Styela clava: one gene and its partner. The protein of the gene in region 1 interacts with the protein of each later gene in a biochemical or structural test. Links are inferred from orthologs where the notes say so. Each region holds a gene or a part of one and is shown on either strand. Other genes may lie near its edges.

The links.
Region 2: the proteins of AP-1 complex subunit gamma-1-like (region 1) and clathrin interactor 1-like form a complex in vitro, tested with the Homo sapiens proteins (2 studies listed by BioGRID). The link is inferred for Styela clava from reciprocal best matches to the Homo sapiens genes AP1G1 and CLINT1.

The regions. Positions count from the first base shown.
Region 1 is NC_135263.1:915,433-928,117, forward strand, and holds AP-1 complex subunit gamma-1-like, read right to left. Parts: upstream 5,856-12,685; 5' UTR 5,804-5,855; coding exon 3,278-5,803; 3' UTR 2,280-3,277; downstream 1-2,279. UniProt on the Homo sapiens protein: Subunit of clathrin-associated adaptor protein complex 1 that plays a role in protein sorting in the late-Golgi/trans-Golgi network (TGN) and/or endosomes.
Region 2 is NC_135256.1:17,756,106-17,768,228, forward strand, and holds clathrin interactor 1-like, read right to left. Parts: upstream 5,699-12,123; 5' UTR 5,658-5,698; coding exon 3,762-5,657; 3' UTR 1,966-3,761; downstream 1-1,965. UniProt on the Homo sapiens protein: Binds to membranes enriched in phosphatidylinositol 4,5-bisphosphate (PtdIns(4,5)P2). May have a role in transport via clathrin-coated vesicles from the trans-Golgi network to endosomes. Stimulates clathrin assembly.

The DNA of each region.
Region 1 (12,685 bases):
TTAGCAAAAAATATAAGCAGAATCAAACAGCATTTGCAGAATAAAACAGATAAATTAAATGCAGAGGGCCAGAACTAAATGTTCCTCGATTCTAACAGAATTCTAAAATAATATTTTTTTTTTAATATGGAATGGACCTTTCCCCGACCTTTGACCCCCGAAAAATTCTTCCTATACTTTACCATTGCAAAATATTCGGGGCTATTTTAAGAGTGCTTTTGCGAGCTGTGAAATGGGGTATGTGTTTCAAACCATCATTATGATTCATCGCATACAACAATCTGTTTTTTTAAAAGTACCGTTAAAGAATTTTAGCCTAGTCATTCACAGCTATTTCTACACTAATTTTTATTACCGCAATTAAATTAAAACTCCTAGGAAGACAGGGTGGCCATTAAATTATCTGATTTACGTTTAAGTTTCCAAAACACAACTGAAAACTAACGAATAGAGTTCAAAAATGCGAAAACGAGGTAATGTTTACGACTAGCTTGAAAATCTGTCTGAGTGAGAAAAGTGTCTGAGCGGATGCGAAAAGGGAGCATTGTTACGTCACTTTTTCCAATTAGCTGATTGGCTAATGTCACGAAGTAAACAAGGAAGTCGATGCTCGGGGAAAGGTCCATATGTGGTATCTTATGCTCAATAATGGCACACAGAAATCGATTATATTTTACGAGTTGAATTTTAAAATGCAGAAAAAGTAAACAATGATTTTATCGGTTTCCTGTTTTTTCAGTTTTCAGTGTAGGTAATGAAAGCTTTTGTGTCAGATAGCTAAACTTCAATTGCTCAAAATGATAGTTTTATAATTAAAATATTCTGAATTATTCTTAAATTCAAAAATTTCAGACAGCCTTAGTTTGAAACGAATGATTTTTACAACCCCTGACCCAAAAATCTGTTATGTTCTGCAAAAGTGGAAAAAATTGTGAATTTGATAATTCAACATAATAAATCAATACCAGATATGAGGAAATTATAACATAGAAAATATAATAGCCTAACTTCATATATACAAAGCAAGGTTGAGTTGAAAGCAAATTGGCAGAATATTTACATATCAAACAGAAGGTGTAAATGCTGCCAGTTCTGCTTCGGTGAAATCTAGTTGAAAGCAAATTGGCGGAATAATCACATATCAAACAGAGGGTAAGGATGCTGCCAGTTTCACTTTGGTATTTCTCTAACAATTCATTTTGTATTTGAAACCAACCCATACTAAATTATGAGGCAAAGTTGAGTTGAAAGCAAATTGGCGGAATAATTACATATCGAATAGAAGGTATTAATGCTACCAGTTCTGCTTCAGTGGTTTTCTGGACATTTACTTTGTGGCTGGCTGCGATATTGGTAACTCTATGTTTTGAGTTCAGATTTCGAGTATTACAAAAATTAGAAATGGAAGCCAGAAAATAAATATTTTATTTTTGTAGTGTTTGCAGTAATTAAACCTTACTAAACGCGACAATCAGACTTCAATAGGGATATTCAAACCATTCTATATATAAACGCATTTTGAGTAAGGTACAATTAATATTAGCTAAAAACTAGAAAAATGCACTGTTATGCACTTTCCAAATATCTTGAGGCAAAGGCATACTCTTCTAAAATAACAGGTCTATATATTAAAGAAGGCTCAAAATTAGACTAAGAGTTATTAAAGCATTAATTAATTGGCAAAAGCCCGGTAATGTTGAGTGAAAACTAGAGAAATAGCTTGCTCAATTTCGGGTGATCATTTGCACGCTTTGGACGATCATCGGTATACTTTGGGAGGGCCCTTTTACGTCATTGTGACATCTTAGTAACATCATTTTTAGATGACATAGTCAGGTAGAGGTTACAAATGGCGTATGCAAATATTGTTGAGCCTAGAAGAAGCCTACACCAGACCTGAAAAATGCAGTAGCAGATAGCATGCTATAGTGCTAGCTTAGAAACTTAATCGGATGGTTCACAATGAGAATTATTATAACAACAAAACGACGATCACAAAATGAAAAAATAAATGAAACAAACAATAGCTTTTTTTGAGTGATTTCTTTTTAACATATTTCTAGCAATTGTAACTGAATTATTTTTTCGAAATTTTAACATTCTGATTTTCTGTCAAAGATATGTAACGTTGAAAGGGCATAATGGAAGAACAAAAAAAAATATACAAAAAGGGTTAGATAGACATACAGTCAACTAAAGAAAATGTAATGCACCGTTGAAAATGATTTTAATTAAAGCATAGTTGGTGATTATGAAACATCTTAATTTTTTTTGGGGGGGGGGGGTGTAGGGGCGGAAGGGCGAGAAATTGATCATACTTGAATAAAAATATACAATTAGTAATTAGTTGGAGTAATTTGTTTGACTGGGCTCCATTTTGAAAACAGATAGAAGTCTTAAAAAAGAGATGGCCTAAACTGAATAATCTTTCACTCCAAATACAATGTAAATTTATATTTCTAAAAATTGAATACATTCTAAATTAAATTCAGCAAAGAACAGATACAATGAGATTATTATTTTACACTTCTTAAATATTCTATCAAGGCTCTTTGGTTTGACTTATAGGCGCTTCAGAAGTGTGTGTACCAATATGGAGGTAACTAATTTTGTTCGCCTACTTTACATCAAGTTGTGTGAAGGGACTGAAACATATGAGCAGGGGGTATATCCACTTGGCTAACACAAACAGTCGCCGAACTCGTAACGGAACTAAAATAGGGAAAATCAAAATAAAATTATGCCCTAACCATAACCTGGTACACATACTATGGAAGTACCGACATATTATACAGGTGTCAAGAAAGTCCCTTTAGTACATTTCAATTTTGATATGAAGTTGGTTCTCAATATATCTTAACCAGGATTGTTGTTTTTCAATCATTTTTACCTCATTTAATACATCTGTGAGGGCCAAAACAATATGGTATCGATAAATTCCCTTTGCAGTTTAAAAAAATTTTGAGACTTTAAGGACCCTATAATATATCAGAAAACCAAGAATTTTAAATATCGAATATAATTCCATAATATACCATTCCGAGTACAATAAGAAGAAAATGCAAACCCAGGATTATTAACTACCCCATATGCCAAGGCCTGATTGACAAAATTTGTTGGTGCGGGAACATTATATTATTACATCATAATTGGTCTAAATTCAAATATAACTATATAAATATATGATCTTGATAGTTTCAACAAAGCCCATTTTCGGGACAGTTTTAGTTTGTGATAATACACTTTTGAGGGGGGCAATGAGCCCACTTGAAACTCTCTACTGCCATGAAGCAGCAGGAAAATTATTCACTTCCCCCATTTCAGTAACAGGTTGTCCGTTGATCGTATATGAGATTCGTAGCCTCATTCTCAACGGCACTTTTCCTGGGTTGTTAATTTTGATTGGCTGTTCTATAGTGCCACCACTGTTCGGTGGAACCACGTTTCCTGATGGCGACAACATCTGGAGTTGTAGCTGCTTCGGTAACGCTGCTTGGAATACATAATCCGAAATTTCAGATGGGGTCTGGTTACTTGTTTTGACATTGATGGAAAGCACTGAGTCTCCTGGCTTCCTATCGAAGTAAAAAATAACTTTCAAACCTCCTTTTTCAAACGCTGTCATTTCTGGAATGAAATTTGTGGCAACAGGAGCCGGGTCACCAAGCATTAGCCCTGCTAACCCGTTAATTGCTGGCGGTGGGGCTGAACCCATAATCCCGTTCGTATTTGGCATAGCGGGTGGGGGAGACCCCATGATGTCATCGAGGAGATTAAGAGAATTACTCATCGGAAGTATTGGTTGTATAGGGGCCCCACCCATGGGCGGGACAATGGGCGTGTCCGATGCTGCGGAATTATTCAAATCGACTAAATCTAACAATAAATCAATATTGCTTTGTGGTGCTGCTGCTTCTTTCACTGTTGCCACATTTTGTTCCGTTTCTCTGTCTTCCAATTCCTCCCCATAATTTGTTTCAGATTCTCTTTCGATCGATTCCGCCGGCGGCTTTTCAAATTTCGGCATCGATTCTAAAACACCAGCACATAGATTATGATGCTTATCCAAGAGTGCACAATATTCCACAGCTCTCTGCTGTACCTCGGTGCTGTGTGAAACTCCAAAGCGCTCAATAATTTGACGAACTCTAGATTCTATGCCTGGTATTCGTGCACTGAGCTTCATTATTGCATTAATAGCATACGCTTTTGTTACGGGATTCGATAATGAACTTTCAATAGTGTCATCAAGAAAATCTAAAATCTGGTCGCCAGAGACTGGCTCAATTACATCTCCAGAATCATGATGCCCTTCAGCTAACTCGTCTCCATATTCTCCAAGACACCAGGATAAAACTTGAACTAAAGGCTGCTGGTCAATATTTTCAGGCATTTTTGCTGCATTTAGAAGAGAATTAACGGCGTAGGAATGTAATTTATCACTATCAGATAGCAGATGTATCAAACTTGGAACGGTGTCGTCTCTAACATAATTACCAGCGGTCGTGAGAACTTTCAACATCGTATCAATATGCCAGCGACGGTTAGGAGCGAATTTTTCCGCAGCTAGAAAGATTCCTGACGCACAGTCGGACTTGAAATCTGGAGGGCAACGGGTCAAAAACGCAAGTAACTCTCTAACAGTTCCTCTAACATTATGGCTATTCACAAGAGCAAAGCACAACTCCATTGCACGACGCAAAATCGAAGGGTCCGGATCTTTTAAACAATCAAGAACAGTGGTGCGATGGCGCTGCACAGCGTTCATATCCGTGTGGACTGTCCTCAGAAGAGAATTCAACGCTACATAGCGGATATTTTTATCATTGTTGAGAAGAAATCGGCCCAGAATGTTGACGGCAAGAACTCTCAGTCCACTTTCAGATTTGATATCCATGATTGTGAGGACCGTTTCATATAAAATTGCATTCCCAACGTTTTTACTAGTTTCAGTATTCGTCGCAACTTGAGCCAATATATCGTTCATAATCTCGCTAGCTTCGCCGTCGTGTGATCCAAGGATTCTTAACAATCGTAAAATACGAACTTGCAAAAATGGGTCACTAATTCCAGAAACATCATGCTCTGGCGAGTATCCAGACATGATTAAATTCTTCAAAATCCGCACGAGAGTCGGGCACAGCTTTTTTAAACTTTTCAAAACCGCTGGACTCGCTCTACACATTTCTGTGATCAAGGACACAGTTGCCAAGGCAACTCCATGGTTTTTATCGTTCAAACACGACTTCGTCAACGGGATAAAATTTTCCATCAATTCTGGTACTTTTCGAACGATTCTACATGCACAAAGAACAGCTTTCTTCTTGATATATCCGTTAGAATTTCTCATTAACTTTTCAACATCAGGTGCAAGATCTCGAGCCATCTCTGCTGATCCGACACTTCCAAGAGCGCAGAGAGCTAAACTGACAACGTACTGACTTGAATGGTCAAGATCATTCTTCAATGAATTCGTCATAAGAAGCTGGACTTCTCGATTTTCATCCAAAAGCAACATTACACCAAGATATCCAATTCTTTTATCAGTAAATCGTGAACTAGGGAGTAATTTCATCGTTTCCAACTGGCCAAAATGAGCAGGAAATCCAAGCATGTAAATATATAATAATTTTGCTACATTACGGCAACGAAACGTGGTATCAGTGTCGCGGAATCCGTTACGGATGTCTGCACATTCTTTATTGATAACAGCACGCTCCTCCGCAGCAGTTTTACAAGCTCGAATATTGCGAATCAAATCTCTCAGCCTGATAGGTGTATGTGTCGTTACATTTGCAAACATTGTGATACAAATAAATGTTTAACCTAATTGTGAGATCTAAAACACATGAAGTAAAAACAGGTGTCTGTTACGGATAAAATTTTCATATTTATCCAGGGGGAGAGGAAATACAATAACAGGGCTAAACTACGTGGAAATTCATAGCTTCTTGTCCATACCCATATATAAATATACCCAACTTTGCATTTGACAGTTTGATTACAAACTGTGGCCAACTGCTTGTATCATAGCATTCAGGAGTTTACAGATTCATTAAATGAATAATAAAGCAGCTGTGATATGGGGATGGACTACTTCAATGACTTTCCGTTGTATCTTCGGGTCTGGTATAGTTTAGTACCACATGTACTTAGTTGACCTGGCTCAACAATTTTTGCATATGTCAATCCTAATCCCCACTTGACTACGTCACCGAAAAATTACCTCATTTCGACGTCACAGTGCCGTAATAAGGCCCACCGAAGTATGCTGATGCTCGTCCAAAACGCACAGACGATCACCCGAAATCGAGCAAGCAATCTTTCTCGTCACAACGATCACTATAGGAGAGAGATCGCCGGCTTTAGCAAGTTCATTATCGGCGGAGCAGATGTCATTTCGGGCGATCGCCCGAAACTAGTTTTTATGTTTGCTTTTTAGCTTTGTTTGTTTATAAAAAGAAGCAGCTAACCAATTAAACTTCACTAAATTCAGCAATTTGTTACCGGTAAATATTATGTGTATATCGCTATTACTCTCTCTCTCTCTATTGGTATTCATATTTCTACACAGGCACGGTAATATAATTTTCAATTGTTTCTTCAATTCTTCATGAATTTCACTCATTCAAATTTTTTACAACTTTACAAGCAAGCTTTGCTCATGAATTTTATTTTCTCGTGTTCATGCACGTTCATGAATTTATCCTAGTATGATTGTATGATTATCGTGATGTATTTTCACTTGTTCGATGAGTGTGAGTAAATGGGCACAAACACTGGTTACAGTACAGCGATCGTTATAAACCTTTATATCAGTACGGCACACTATACAAATCGAGTGACATTGTCCCGTTTCAGAGAAACCAATTTTACAGATGATCAGACACCCCTCCTTTGGTGGACGTCTGGACATTGTTGTCCCTCCGATTTACCAAAGAAAAAAAATGTTACCATAGCATTCGAGAGTTTTCAGCAAAAAACGGCAACTTTGGTCATGTGACGTCCGCGATATATTAAGATTATTATTGAAACAAGCATGGCGCGATATGAAGCATCTGATGTGGTCCAGACGCCCCTTGTTTGTGAGACACATAGAGCGTTTGATTTATTGAGCCAAATGGAGGGAAATTCTTGGAATTTGGATAGTGTGCTGTACTGTATATAGGTTTTTCCCATTTTCCTGTCGCCATTGTCTGTGTTTTTTTAGTTGTGTTCTGTGTTGTAGACAAAAGATCGAAATAAAATTGTATTGTAATCGAAACCCCAGGTCGCTTAAACGTAACGCACATAAATGGCCAATTTTTGTTAAATAACGTAACGCACCTAAATGGCCAATTAAATATTGTTCGGCTTCCTTCTCCCGTTTTTCATGATTCTATGTTAGACTCCCTTAAAGGTGGCGCAGTTTTTTATGATGCTATGTTACACTTCCTCAAAGGTGGCGTTTTGGGGTCTCATGTAGTTTCTTACCTAACATACTTCTAGTGGGCGTAGAATGTCAATTTTTTCACGTATCAATCCTAACCCCAACCTGACTACATCATTCAAAAATAACGTCATTACGACGTCACAGTGACATAATAGAGCCCTTCAAACTATACGAACTGCCATCCAAGACGCGCAAACGAGCACCCGAAATCGAAAAGTTATCTCTCTCGTTTTCTCGTCGCAACGATTCCAATAGGAGAGAGACCGATAACGTCAGTCAGTTCTTTATCGCCGGCGCCAATGCCATGTTGGTCGATCGTGCGTATATTTGGCAAGCTCTATGACGTGATTGTGATGTCGTAGCAATTTAATTTTTGGATGGCGTAATCAGGTGGGGGTTAGGATTGACATATCAAATAATTGTTATGCTACGCCCACTAGAAGCACGTTAGGTACTAAACTACGCGAGACCCGCGTTTTGTGGCAATAAATCTTTCTTACTCTTCTTGCTCGATAACCATGACTGATTTATCGCGTCTCCCTTCATGCTGAAATACATTATTTTATATTTTACCTTATTGTTTGTATACTTTCGTATATTCGGTATGTGAAAAAATAAATTACTGATTCAGTGATTGGGTACTGCAGTACCGTACTGTAAAGCCTGAAAGCCGTAATCCTGTAATCAACAATCCCAGAATTTTGGCTCAACCTCAACCCTAGCCTAACAGTAACAAAACTTAAAATGATAAAATTTTGTTATACAGTTGTCTAAATATAAAAATATGCTCAAGAGTTCTCAGTCATCTGCATATATCTTAGAATCCATTAATCATATTTCCCATTTCACACAAATCTAAAATCAGGCCGATGAATAGAAACTCATTATAGCAGGCAAACACGAAACCCCACACCTTCAGAATTTCCCGGTACCGTAACTGATGACGTCATAGCGTTATTTTGCCATTGTCCGGATTAGCATTAATAGGATTTTCATAATTATTTCGGTAAGAAAAAATCGATAAGGCGCCTTAAGCTCACGGCGAACCACGGCCTTTCGTCCTGTTACCAGTTCATGTCGGGTACGGGATTAGTTAACAAGAGAGCTATGCTCAAATATATGAACACGTAGCTCCACCCAGTGGGAAAAATTTTCATTCAAGCATGAACACACCTGCTCCCCTGATTTCGTTTAGTATGAGCAATGACATTAAACAACATGATGCGCAACTCCGGCATTTTTGGCCGAAGATCGTAATCGATAACACGCTCCAATGCACATACTTGACGAGACGAAAACGAGCGGATGTGTGCTGCTTTCAAGGCATAGCACGAATGATGTTAGTGCTTGCTTTGACAGTTGTTGTCGATTTTAATGATATTTTGGAAAGTTAAGTTAAAAAGAAATCGGAAAAAGGTAAGGTAAATACTATTTTTGTATATCACACCCGGGCATCGCACTGTTAAGCTTTTTCAAATACTACGAAGTTATTAATTCAGTACGGTACGTAGTTGCCCATTTGCTGAAATTGCATATTTAATTACCCCTTATGGTTTCAAATAGTTCATGCATCTCCATTTAGATTTTTCTAACCAATGAGGATATATACGCATTGCTGTAACGTACTATTGCTCAATCACTTTTATTTGCGTATTGATTCAAAGGGTTAACAAGTTCACCTAACATTTCACTCATACCGGTCTATATTGTATAGTATGATGTAATAGTCACGACTTTTTCAATTATTTAAAACGGCCAAATAAGTCATCTATGTATCTGGAGGACACCCTTCCTTCTGAGATTGAAACGCATATAAATTCTCTTACTAATGGTAAGGCAGAAGGTCATGATCGTATACCAATCAACCTTTTGAAAGTTCTAAAAAATATCATTAGCCCTGTTTTATGTAGACTTTTTAATGCTTCAATGTCTCTAGGAATTTTTCCCTGCCATTTGAAAGTAGCCAGAGTTGTGCCCGTATTTAAATCTGGAAATAAGTGTGAAGTATCAAATTATCGCCCTATTTCAATATTATCATGTCTTGCTATTCTTTTTGAAAAATTATTACTAGTTAGATTAAAATCCTTCTTAGATAAACATTCAGTACTAAATAATGACCAGTTTGGTTTTCGTAATGAACATAGCACTTCCCATGCAATAATAGACATTGTCAGTCAGTACTATAACATTATAGATGAAGGCTCAGTAGGTTGTAGCGTATTTCTGGACCTTAAAAAAGCGTTTGATACTGTCGATCACAGCATTTTGATTACCAAATTAAGTCACTATGGTATTCGCGGAGTTGTGAATAAATTGTTTGCGAGTTATTTGCATGACAGAAATCAATATGTGTCATTAGGTGGTTCTGCCTCACTGAGTGGAAAAGTCTCAGTTGGAGTTCCGCAAGGGTCGGTTCTTGGACCAACTTTATTTTTAATACATATTAACGATATCGTAAACGCTACCAATGCCTCAATAAAACTTTTCGCTGATGACACAAGTTCTACGTCTGCAGCAAAAAATCTGCCTGACTTGGAAAATAAAGTCAATGCAAACTTGCTGAATATTTCTAACTGGCTCACTCTAAACAAACTTACTGTGAATCCTGCTAAGACACAAGTCTTGTTAATTAATTGTGCCAAAAGTCTTGAATCCTCTAACATAACTCCAAAATTTACCCTAAATAATTCGATATTGACTACATATGATTCTGTGAAGTACCTAGGAGTCAACCTAGATCACAAACTAAATTGGCAAATTCACATTGATCAGCTCGCTCGTAAGCTGTCAAGAGCCCTTGGTGCTATGACCAAATTGAAACATCTTGTACCTAAAAGAGTTTTAAGAACTGTTTATTTTTCGCTTTTCTACACTCATCTTCAATATGGAATTGTGGCATGGGGCTCTGCTTCTAAGACTTATCTGAATCGAATCAGTGTTTTACAAAATCGTGCGTTGAGAATATTGACTAGTACACGTTTGCGACAAAATTTAAGTCCGATCTACAAACATATGAACATCCTCAAACTTATGGATGTATACAATTTGGAAGTGGCCAAAATCATGTTTTGTTTTAAAAATGGTATGCTGCCTGATGCGTTTGAAAACTACTTTACAAATTGTAGCGATGTTCATGGATATAATACTCGGTTGGCTGGTAGAGGAGCATTTTTTGTCAAAAGGACAAATTCAAGCTCGGCTCGGAGTTCTATAAAAATAACAGGTCCTTGTCTTTGGAACAATATTCCTGATGACATCAAGGAATCATCCTACAACAGTTTTAAGTCTAAATATATGAAGCATCTCATTGACAAATACTAATATAGAAATCTGTTACTAACAGCTTCATAATAATCCCTCCTAAACCTTTGGTAAATCTTGATCTCTCATTGGGAAAGCATATTAGGCATTTTTGCAATTCATGCCACCACAAAACTGTTTTGTCTAATACTCTATCTTATTTTTATATTCTCGTCAAATTTATGCGTGTTTTACCTATATCCTCAAACCCACTGTATAAGTAGTAACGAAATCCCCTCTAATATCCTTGTGTGAATGAAACCATATACTTCAAGCGATACCGTAAATTGTTGATAAATTGAGTTTTTTTTTTTTTTTTTTTTCCTCAATATACTTCAAGCTATACATGCTTTTGATCTGCATAGATATTCTTATGTAAAATATATGTTTTATTACTGTTGTATAACTCCCTTATTAAATATTGCAATTATATAAATTAGTTCCATTGGAAGCCTCCAATGAGTTTTATTCTTTGCAAATTATCCTCCCACATTTATTCTGTGTCATGCATTATTGTCACCACAAATCTATTTTAATAACTACCCTTTCATTGTTGTTATTAATTACATTATTTTTACTTGTGTTGTATAAATATTGTTACTTTGCTCTCTATATAACTGCCTAATAAAAAAAAATAGTCTGTATTTGGTATTACGGCCAATAAGACCTAACCTTCATTTTTGTGTTATGGATCAATGCTGTATGTCTGTTTTAATGTACAGCCCTAGAAATCTTGCCTGAACTGTTCTATTATAGTGTGCAAATTTGTTTTGCTGTTTTATCAACTGTCAACTTATCTGATTATTTGTGTCTGCATATATATGCTGTTTTTTGTGTACATGGCATATTCTTTAACTATATCTTTAAATCTAACAAATACACCCCTGATATCTTTGTCTGAAAGCATATTTTTCAAGGGATACCCTAAATTGTTTATGAATTCAGTTTTTTTTTTTTTTTTTTTGACAACCCATCACCATTTATCCCTTAGGTCAATTTATTACCCACTATGCCATTATTTGGAAACCATTATAGCTCATACTATACGTGCTTTTCATTTGCATAGTTATTATTATGTGGAATAATCATTTATAAATGTTCTGTTACTGTTGTATTATTTCCCCTAAACACTACATTTACTTAATTGAGTTCCATCAAGAGCCTCCTTTGAGCCTTTCTCTTTGCAATTTTTGTTTCATACTTGTTCTGTATTTGTACATTATTGTCACCATAATTCCATTTTCAATAACAACCCCCATCATTTGAGTATTCTTACTTATGCTGTATAAATATATATATATATATCTTTACTGTACTCTATATACTATTGTTAACATATGTGTACCCTTTCTTGCAACATAAGGGTCTGGAAATAAACACTCTGTGCATTATTACCAACAGTCCGCATTTGGTTTTATGGCCAATTAGACCTAACCCTCAACTATTTTATGAATCAATTGCTGTTTGTTTGTCATAGTGTGTAGCCCTAAATAACACAATTTGCCTGAACTGTTCTATTATAGTGTGCATTTTTGCTTTGCTGTTTCATCAACTGTTATTAACCTATTTAATCATAATATGTTCCTGTGGATACCATAAATTGATGCTGTCCTTGATTTTTAGAGGGTCAGAACTCATATGTTGTCTAGCACCAAGATTAATTTATTACCCTCTATGTCAATATTTGGAAACAAATATAACTCATACTGTACTAGGGGATTTATCATATATGTTCTATATTTCTGTGGATACCATAAATTGTGGATGCCCTTATTTTTTTGTGGGTCATAAGTTGTATAGCACCATGGTTAATTTATTACCCTCTATGCCAATATTTGGAAACAAATACAACTCATACTGTACTAGGAAATTTCTGATATATGTTTTGTTATTTACATTGATGAGTTCCATTGAATGCATTCTTTTTGTTACAATCTTTGCAAATTTTCCTCC
Region 2 (12,123 bases), on another chromosome or scaffold:
TGTTGTTGGTTGAAAGCCACAAGTCAGCTGTCATATGAATACTTTAAGCCAACGATAAATTGATTTGCTTATCTTGCACCCTGCGTCTTCTGAGCACTGTAAATGCTGACCGTGCACCGCATGCTTTTTGTGGAGCGTACCCTCCATTCGGAAAATTTATTATCCTAAAATCGTAACTAACCTAATTGAAACTAATTCCACATCAATGAATTTTGTTATGGCCAGGGATGACCAATTCGAATTTAATATTCGAATGTCGCGACCTTCGAATATCGTTTTCAGTGTTCACAAGAATACCGAATATCGCGCACACATTCCAGCGCCGCCGTCCACGTTTTTATTGAAAACATTTTACAATTACTTTTTTTTTATCGTTATCGAAGACAGACATGTGCGGCGCGACAATAAATTACAGCAGAGATGAAAGGATTTCAATTAGCGCCGACAAGAAGTGCTTATCTTATAACGAACACGTCGAGGATGTTTTTGATTTCAACTTAGTCGAGATAGTTTGTGCGGCCGTGGCAATAAATCTAATCGCAAATTGTGTAGGAATTGGTTTCATGATCACTTGCGATAGTGACCAAACATAACAGTACATTTTCGCATTGCTTGTTGCAATTCACAGCGTATAAAATAGCTCTCAAGTATTATTTAGTATCGCGGATTTTACCTTCTCCCGGCGTCGTTGAGGATAATATCATTCAGCTTAAGTTGACGGTATTAATTCACAAGCACGATTGAAAGTATAACAACCGACAAGAAAGATTTAAGTCAACTCGAAAATAAAACACGGTTTTCGGTCTTAATTTTTCGTCATTGGCTGATGGAATTTAGGGAATCGGATTCACTCAGTTGATTATGACGATGATTGCGCAATAACATTTGCGTCTTTTTCTGAATTAGGGAATGGTGGAGCAAAATAAAATTTAAAGCCCGTGCTAGCACAACAACTAGTGCTTGTGTAGAGGGATAATTGTGGCGGAATTTAGCTTAACGATGTAGGTGGTCTACTAAATAACACTCACGCAGACGAAAAACAGTCAGAATTTATAACAAAAATTAACCGTGTCAAAAAGTGTGTGCGCCGATGAGAACTTTGGATTTTCCTGTAGAATTTAAAACATTTCACTAGGCGAATAATTGCTCTTTTTTCTGCGCTTGCCAAGATACACCATAGGTCATAGGTGTGAATACTGTGTTTATCATGTCTCTTTTTTTAGAAGCAAAAAAAACACTAGTTTCAATATTATCACATATTCCATTTGTACTTATAGCTGCTTTAGAATGATAATATTATTGAGCTTAATTTCTTGGTCCATGGATTTTAGAAAAGTGAATAAAATATGTGGGGAATTTTAGAATATATTCGGAATTCCAGATTCGAAAATATGTTTTAGAATGTATTCGAAATAGTCAAGTATTCCATTATGGCCATCCCTGGTTATGGCGTAGAATAGTCAATATTTATTCTCGTTTCACCCCGCAATATGGTACTACATTTGACACATACCCGTCAACCATTCACAAGCTGCGATTGCAAAAAATGGGAGGCAAGGCGGCCTGAAAGCAAATATCAATGACAAAACGAGCATTCCGACCAAACACACAACAATCTGACTTTGAAGACTGAGAAAATTACCACCCTGACAATAAACAATTTGCTCTTACAAAAGTTGGTCCCAACTGACTAAAATCCTAGCTTCGTATTTCATCAATAGCACCACTTAGATTGGGAACGTTTTGATGCCGGCAAATGGTGTCCAATTATCAGCCCAACGCTTCAGACCCCACCAGATAAAAACCAAAATCTCAATTTAGACGACGAATATTTCTACTGGAACCTGTAAAACAATATGACCGGTATGTCAAATAAGAACGCAAGATTTTTTGCTACAAAGCTATGATCTGACTCATCTGAGCACTCCTGATTATCATATTGTGGACAATAACACACTCTTCATCTGGGAGAAATCCTGTTTTTGTTGATATTTTTATTTTTCAAGCAGCATTTACAGAAAGCTGACAATTTTCATAACAATTAAATACCACTTGTAAATATGGATTTGAGGGGGAAAAAAACAAAAAATTCTATGTACAATATTGTTTATTATCAACAATTGGTTCAATAAAATTAAAACGTATAAGGATACAAGCATAAACATAAACGGCCAGCTTTTTCACCAGAACCTATTTAATGTTTTACCCAATATAGAAATCATGTTAGAAGTGAAATTATGAACTAACAGTAAAGCTAAGAATAATATAAATATTTAATTCAACTAATAAAGTGTAGCCTAATAAGTATCTACAGCACATCAAGCCAAAACATTTCATAGGTTTAAACGATAAATATATGAAAACACAAAATCAGATGCATGCCTAAGACTGGAAAACGGGCTAATCTTAGGAGTTGCATTTTATCATCATGTTCATGACAATTTTAACAATTCTGCTTGAATCTTATGCAAAATAATACTTCTATTGGTACCTACTGACACAGAAGAATTATTTGTAAAATTTGAACAATTCCGCTACAGAAATCAATATCATATCCAGGGTAACATAACAAATCACATAGAATCGTATACAGCTATTTAATTTCTTCCATGAAAAAGTCTTAAGCCAGTTAAGGATTATTATAATCGCACCACTGGGAAATCAAATTAAAAAATATAGAAACTTTTCATGTTTTGAAAGGGTACTGTAATTTGTAATGCACATTTGTAATACTTTCCGACCGCAGGCAGGTTATGTGAAACATACAATTAAGCACATTAACTATTCCTACACAAAGCCACCAAAAAGGTGACATCATCCAAATCTACATTACAACCCATCACCCTAGAAATCATAAAAAAAAGCAAACTAAACTGGAATGCCTAAAACAAAGAACAAAACTTTATAAAAGCAGGTGCCTTATCCTATCATTGAAAGATAAAATAACTATCGGATATTTATCTATGATACGGGCATTTCAAAAAGTAAATAGTACATTGTGTGCACCTCGTGAAACTAGTGTCACAAAGTCACTGTATGAAATAACTTTCAAAAAAAAACGTAGTAAATTTTTCTGATCAAAATACAACTATTTCCTGTTGATATTTTATTATGGATTATCAAGGCAATTTGAACATTACCTACGGTATCACAAATTTAATATGAATCGAAACTTCATACAAATATGAAAGCTTTTGCTCCACTTAGGTAGCAAGATTGATATGCCTGAATCAAATTTGAGAAATGATATAGAGAAATAACATGCACAGTTTAGCCAGTACCATTATAATCTTACAGTCGAACAATAAATGCCTGTGTTACTGTGTATATAACCTAATAGGACTACGAGAGATCAAAATCACATCAATAGGTATCGAAGGAAACGCTATATTAAAATAAAATGCACTTGTTTGGGATCATAAACCTAATAAGTACTTGATTACTACAATCAAATAATTATTAAAAAAGATAAATTTTAGGGCCATCAGCTATCTTTGTTATAATTTTTTATATAAATAGATACAAATACAACAGGTTGTTGGAATACTTTTATTAAGATTCATATGCCAAGTTGGGTGATTGGTGTTCATTATTGTTAACAAAAATAATCATCCATATGAAATATAGCATATTTAAAATTTTACCGAGATAGGGATCAATACTCATGCATCTTATCTGCATATTTCAGGTCACTAGAAGCTTCAATTGCAATCATGCATATATGCATCGTCATTTGAGATGGTTATGATCTAAACGTCTTTTCAAAAAGGTTTATTATAATTATTTGCTGCAGGAACGCCCTGCATTTGATACATTCCTCCCATCCCACTCCCATACATTTGATTCATATTATATTGACCCATATTCGGTTGTCCAGCCATTCCCATCATGCCCATGGGTTGAGTGGGCGGCATCATATTGCTGTTAGGCATCATTCTCATTCCTTGCTGTCCCATTGGAGCACCCTGACCCATCATTCCAGGCATTTGAGGTGATTGCATACCGGGTGCCTGTCCGGTCATATTCATTCCTGCCATACCCATGGTAACATTTCCAACAGGCGTACCTTGTTGCATCTGTCTCATAGATGGCTGGGCAGTTTTTTGAGATTTTCCAAAAAGATCCAAATCAATGTTAACTCCTTTAACATCACTCCAAGTATTGGGTTTTAGAGGTTTCGATGCTGCCGTTGATGCAGGTGTAGCACTGATTGGCTGGGATAGTGAAGATGGAGCCATTGTTGGTTGATTCGGAATGAGAGGAGCTGAATTGGCCTGCATTAGATTGGGTGACGTCGGTGACATCAGATTGGCAGCGGGTTGCTGGGGAATAACGGGAGTAGTAGAATTCATCATATTAAAACCTTGGTTATTATACATATTCGTAGGATTCATCTGTGGCTGTAGTTGAGGCATTTGCGGAGCCATCATAGTTTGCTGCTGCTGCTGCGGCATTTGGTTACCTTCAAAGGATGCAAACGGGTCTAACGACATTTGTGGCGTTGATGTGAAAAGATCGACATTTGAACTTGATGGCGCAGCGTTAGATTCAAAATTGCCGAAATCCGCAAAATCGCCATTAGTTGTAGTTGCTTCCTGGGCTACATTGGGCGCACTTCTTGTAGTGGCTAGTGAATCAAAATCTGAAAATAAATCAGGCTGCTGCTGGCTTTCTGTAGTACTAGATCCAAAGAGGTCGAGAGTATCAGCTGTTGTACCTCCTGATGATTTGCTCTGGCTAGATCCAGATATTTTAGCGGGTTGATCACCTGTATATTGAGCTGCTGCACCTAAGCTAACTTTTTTTGAAGGTACAGCTTTACGAGGTTTTGAAGCATTATTGGTAATCGCAGGAGATGATATTCGCTTTGGTAATTCCTCTATCGTTTCTTTATCGCTGTGTTGTTCTAAGCTTTCAACACTGAAACTGTATTTGACACCTCTTGGGGATTCTTTCCCCCTTGATTTGCGATCATTATCAGTCGGATCAAAATCATCACTGTACGCAGCTGAACCATTAGATTCATTTCGTCTGTGAGTGTCACGTCTCCCGTCTGATGGTGAATCATGATAGGTATCCGATCCTGAATGTTGGCGACGATGGCGATAATAATCATCTTCATCATATCTCTGTTGTGTTCTGAAACCAAATTTGGATTCTTCGTGAGACATCCCCACATATTTATTTTTGTTCTTCTTACATTTTTTCCTTTCCTCTCGCAACCTTTCATTATCTTTGACGAAAACTACCAACTCTTTCGCTTTATTTCTGACGTTGATGCCTTGATCTTTGCCGTGTTCATCGTGAAATTGGAAATTTTGTAATGCTCGGAGGTCGTTAATATGTTCACGAGTGCTGGTAACAAAACGCTCTGATCCATTGCGCAACAAGTACGAAACCACTAAAAGTCCTTTGTAAATCCGACGCCAGTTGCTTCTGCCTTCATGGAATATTCGTTTCCACAGCATTCCTGTAACTTCTGAATATGTTTCATACATGAAAGTGTCATTTGCAAGTTCTTGCATCAAACTTCCTGAAGGACCCCACGGTTCATCATTTGTGGCTTCACGGACTCGAGCCTCCACCTCTGTATAATTCATTACAACATTGGTAACTTTGTCGGTTAGTTCCCGAATTTTCCATGGTAGAAGGTTCATATTAGCTAATGAGAAATACCAAAATATATATTTTTTTTTACCTGGAAAGCATAATTTAAACAAGTTATTACATTGAAACTATAAATAATACATGTTTGTGGTTAACACAACCGTATTAAAGATAAAATCACTAGTATTACCTGTACTCGCCAAGTGACTGGTGGAGAGGACCAGCAGCACACCCACTGCAGTGACCAGACACCACCAGGGCACTCGGATATCTCACTTTGTCAACTTGCTATATGTGTCGCAGAGTGCGGTTTCTACTGGTAGAAAAATTTGTGATAATTTATATTTTTTTTATATTATAAAATTCGAGTATTGGTTCACATTTCTTCAGGGTATGTAGTATAGAATCATACCAACCTGGTAACTGTGAATTCTTTACTGCCAAACTGGTACAAAAAATATCCTATATTTCATCACCAATCCAACTTAGTTCTACTACTTTGATATTAGTGGCTATACCTATCCTATTCTCACATCAAAACAGATATAGCCACGACTTCCCACTTACGGTTTGAACAAAAAACATGACCAATTAAAATAATTCAATATTAAGATCAACGACTGTTATACACCACTTGTTGCTCCAATTTTAAATGTTCATGCAGTACTGCTCCAAGTCCATGCCTGCCTGACCCATATTACAAGAATGCTACTAGTCAGAAGTCTCTTTGACTCTTCAAATAGACACTGTAATGACTCATTCATATACAATCTTGAATACCAGTATACAAAGGAAAACAATCAGTTCAAATGTTTGTAATGTTTTTGCTTTATGGTGCCAGATGATTCATCCAAGTCTTATACAGATATGGCAACCGCTTGTCCTTTTTCTGAGTCCAGTAATGAAATATATACTGCTAATTTATTAGCAAAGGCTAACAAAAATATGTATCCCAATTTAAAAAATGTTCAGCTAATGAAAGCATGAATTTATCAACTTTTTGTGACCCTTCAAATGTCAACATTTTCTCTAATAAGCCTGGCAGCTTCGCAAAAGAATAGTTTTGAAATATAATTTTTTTTCATATATGAAGTATAGGCCTACAATTTTTTGATGAATTTTCAAGTTCATATGCGATTGTCGTACTAAACACTACATACACCCAAATATTGTACTCAACTTGCCTTGTTTTGCAATATTCTTGATTCATTTTACAATATTTACAAAGTAATTGATATGAAACAGTTACGTTAATTTAAAACGGGTCATACTGTCCTAAAACTTGATTTTGTAGATTAATATTTACCATATAAAATTACGATTGTTTTATTGAAAAATCAATAAATGGCTTTGAATAAGGATATCAAATTTATCCACCAAAACTAGGTTTACATAATGTTAAAAGTAAGTCTGTTTTATGATCAAATGATTTGTTAGGGAAATAATATGTAGTCATCAGGGATAGCCGAAATCTAATAATATGTTATTTTGAACACATTTAAAATGGGGTTGTAGCCGATGGGAAAACTAGCAGAAAACATTAATTAATACAAATTGAATTTGATAATGCAGAATAGTTGTGATACACCTTGTTTTGATAGATTTTCTATAATTTTTAATGTCAGAAGTTACATTTTTTGTTTGGCTGTTAAATAAGAAATGTGTAATATGACAAATTTTAAAATAAAAATGTTCGAAGTCATTAGTGAAATAAAGAATTTACTATATCCTGAAATTGAATACCAGCATCATGCCGTATGTTTAGTTAATCATATAAAGATAATTTTATTTGTCATTTTTTCATCTGCACAACATAGCCATCGGGTAACATGAAAGTCACTAATAATAGATAACTTGATATTCAGAATATCATTTTGTTAGCCAAAGCACTGTCTGTATCCTCCAAAGATGATGGGTGAAATAGTACAGTAGTAGGAAAGATCTACATAAGTCCAAGTAGTATATACAGATATATCTGTATATTACACACAAAACTGCATAATGCGATAAATTTTGTTCTTAATAACTTACGGTAGGTCTTTGGCCACCTAGGCTATATCTTACTCTCAATTTGTAGAATTGGATATCCTTGTACAGTTGTACAGACAGAAAAAAGATAAGTTAAGCAAGGGTTTTCGTTTTATTTATAGCAGTATAGCGCACGCAAAAAGATCTTAAAAATGTTAATGAAATCGTAATTCTGTAATTGACGCCTATCCAGTCCGTAGTCTGTCTGTCTTCTGGTCCTAACCCTGTAACCTGTCGAATTATTATTGAATTGACACCGCTGCTGCCTGCTAACACTGTCAGGGTTGCCAGATCCCAGCGATCAAAAAAAGCCAAATCAAGACGAAAAAAAGCCAACAATTTTACTAAGTACAAAAGCCTCATGATTTGTCTGATTAGATGCCCTTGGTACAATGATGGGTTTGCAATATGCTGATGTAGAGCCATCAGTTCATTTAGTGAGCCACACAATCGTATGTTGTATTTTCGGTTGCAATTTCCACTTCAGCAGGATGACGGGTTTAAAGTAAAAAGGATTAATTGAATGGCAGCAACAGAATCTATATTCGACACAATACAGTCAAGCTGACATCTATATGAAAAAGTTAAAAAAAAATCACAAAAAAAAACAAATAGAAAAAGATATATCAAGCAGACAGCATTATTTTAAAATTCAATATATACAATACAGGGTGGCTCTTTAGTACTGTAGTAAGTGATATAGGTGCCCTAAAACATTCTCCCTAAACATTTAGAAACCATCATTTTTATTAAAAAAAATTATCCAACCCCCTGCCCGCAGGTGGACTACTGCAGTACTGATAGCTAATTTTACTGTTGTTGATCATATCGTTCGTGAGACTAAATTTTGATTACTGCAACTAAACTAAAGTTCCTGCAGTCCTGGGATAGCTGGGCATAATGTCAATTAAGTTATTTTTTGGAAACAGAACTGAAAACTGACAAATAACGCGCAAAATAAAAAAAAAACGAGGCAATGTCAGAATGTTTACTGCTTGACCCTGCTTACTGCTTGACCCTGCTTGAACATCTATCTGAGCAGCTGCAGAAACTGACATTATTTTTAATTCAGTAATTGGTTATGGTTAAGATAATGAACAAGGAAATCGATGCTCGGGGAAATCCAAATGTTACGGTAAGTAGCAATAGGTTGTTGTTATACACTAAATATAAATATTGTATCTCATATGATTTTGATAATAGACACTAAAAGAGACCTAAAAAAGCCAAACAGAAATTCTGACGCCAAACGTGTTTGGAAAAAGCGAAAAAAATGGCAAATTTGGCCTTAAAAAGTCAATATGGCAACCCTGAACACTGTACCACCACATTCAGACATTGTCTCACCTGCTCACTGTTCTGCTGTGCAGTGTCAGTTGTGCTGGTGTTACAGACAGAGCCTGGCCCTGGGCTATACCCAGATAACAGTATAAACATATCTTCAGTTTTATTCAGTCTAACCTTAGATATTCCGGTTTTGTCAGTATTTTGCTGTGTTAGGGCGAAAAATAATGGACTTTAATATTTGTAGCCTACTTCCCATTTTTGTGTCAATTAACTGGTCATAATTCTGGAATTATTTTGCCATGGGGTAACTGAGTTTTTGTGTTCATATGGTACTAGAGTGAACTATAGAATATCTTATAGCCTAGATAGATTATAGATTTCTGTTTTAACTAATGTTTTTAATTTCATTGACAAATGTCACTCTTACCACAGCACCATTTCTTCTCAACCTTCCGACTTCTAACAACACGACATTCGCGGACATCAAACTGGCCAGTGAACCGGCCGATAAACTTTGTCACGTCGTTACGCGACTCATTTGCCTTTCTCTTTTTTATTCGCATGAGTAAATTGTATTTTCTCCCTGAGGGCGTTGGATTTGATGCCATACTCATCAAAAGGCTTCACATTATTCGTCGCCTGAGGCTATATCTTGCATTTTATTTCTGATAGAATATTTACTACACTATTCATTTATTTTATTGTAAGCAGGATCAATTAAAGTACTTGGCTAAGTACTGGAAAAGTTTCACCAATGCACATTCTTAGTTGCTGAAGAGTTGCTTGGATGTTTAGCTACCAAATAATTTAACACAAAAAATAATACAAATTCTTACTCATGCTTTGGTTCGCAAACATGTTTAATTGCACATTTGCCTAGCATTGAGTCGATTGTATCTGGGTTGTCAACATGACGAGGGAATGCCCTGAAGCCGGACTCGTGGCGCATCGTGCTAAGCGTTAGAAATACGCTTGCCACAACACCTCTGATTACCCTTCGTGGGTTCTCAGGTTCGAATCCCATATGTGAGATGATTGCTGGACTCCTCGCCGTCGTAGGGTGGTTCACGTAATCGCTGGTCGGCTACAATTCCCTCCACCATCAAGTCTATACATCTGAAAACGAAATACCCGACTAACTAAAATTCGTACAGCCCGTAGATAAAATCGTATTAGAGTGATGCTTTTTGCCGCGGCAATGGTCGCACACTCGATAATATTGAATCAAATATTTTTCGGAACTAAACACTAGCAGCATGTACTCTTCGTACATACATTTTTATTGATATAAAACGCAGATTATCTGACAGTTACGAACTGTAGTCAGAATTCATCGCACAGTATATAATCAGTATCAGCCTAAATATATTATTAGGACAAATGTAAATGTAAAATCTACGGTCGTTATTTCCAGGATTATTTCTCACCGAGGTAACCTATAAATAATGTAATAAAATTTCCAAATTTTAAAATATAAACTGATAAAATAAACATAATGAAATTGAAATGCAATTTAAATTTTCTTTTTTGACATGTACTGAGCCAGCGCCTAATTCTAATAGAGATATATATGCAGAATCCCTATATTTTTATGAAAGGAAACTGTTGAAAAAAAATAAAGTTATTCAAGAATGAAGTGTGATTTGACACGGATTCAATTTTGAAGAACGGGATTTTGCGCTTAAGTAGTTGGGGAATATTATTTAGCGAGTTGAACTTTTAAAAATGAAGTTTAAAATTATGGCATTTGGTCTTATAATATTATTTTGTGTAATCCGTACCGTAGGAAGGGTGGTGGTTATGAGAAATAGGTACACTCACGACCCAGAAATGTTCCAATATGGAATCCCAGGGCACCGTATGTAATATCACTGATATTGCCGCATACCCCGTACCCCTTAATGAACAAATCCAATTGTTTTTTATTGACTGAAACGAGATTAATGAAAAAATGTGAATAAAATGAAACACTCGAAATCATCACAGTGAAAAGTACAGTGAAATGTCTCAAAAGAAACATAAAACACATGACAGGGTTAGATCAACTCAAGTAGAAGTCGAGTCTTGCAAATCATTAGAGGTAAGTCTCGTCTAACTTCATTTTCGCTGAAGAAAGACGGTGTACTTTTTGACAACGTGTAACTTCGGTCTAATCGAAGTCGGACAGTATCCAATGTACATTTCGGGACTCAGATGACCATGCTATTTCAAATTAAAGTTCGAGTCGAGTCGCTATGTTTAAAAACATACGTCATTTTAATATAATCGTCGTTTCCAAAAATGTTCCTAAAGTCTGACTCGGGTTTACACATGCCAAACCAATACACACACACTTACACTATATGAAAAGATACCACGAGTACAAACAATAACAATACACGTTTATACACTGAACTGTCATTGCCATTAAACGTGTAATGACATATTGATAACCAAGTTTGAATAATATGTTTAAACACGTCGAGTCCTAGCGCCACCTCGCCTAAGATATGATAAATTGGGTAACCAAAGCCGAACCTGCTTGCGGGGAGTCTTGTTTGGAGTGGAAAGGTAATAAAAGCGCCACAAAACAAATATTGTGGATTGGTTTTACAGGAAAGCCGAATTAAATGTAGGTGATGTTAACACATCGGTTACTTTGGTGATCTTAAATACAGTGGCGATTTGTCACCTCGCCTGAGAAAAATATATAAGTATCTTTGAAAGTTCAAGGTTTAACAGTTCTTGAATTTTTTAAATCGCGTTTCATATCACAGTAAATACAACAGAAAGCAAAATGTTTCAAAAGCCACTCCACAAAATTCTTGTCGAAATGCCAAATTTAAAAAAGTTCAAATGAATTACCTATAAAGATTCCGTATGTTAGCTTTCTGTTATGAATTCTTTTATGAAAATTTGTGAAATTATTTCTAAATACTCGTTACTCTGACAGTATTGAAGTGAATTGCTTTGAGTCCCACATCAATCGTCATTCAGAAACATCTCTGTCACAACAATGAATGAAATCGTTGCTCTCAGCAAATCAGTGGTATCAGTCACACCAATTCCTTGTAAACGATGACCCACGACCTTGCTTTGAGCCACCTCGAATAAAAAAAAATACTATTACGTATATAATATCAAATTACGTTAGACTATGAGATAAATAATATCAACACTACAGAAATACGAATAGCAAAACCATTAAGCCTAAAGTTGTCT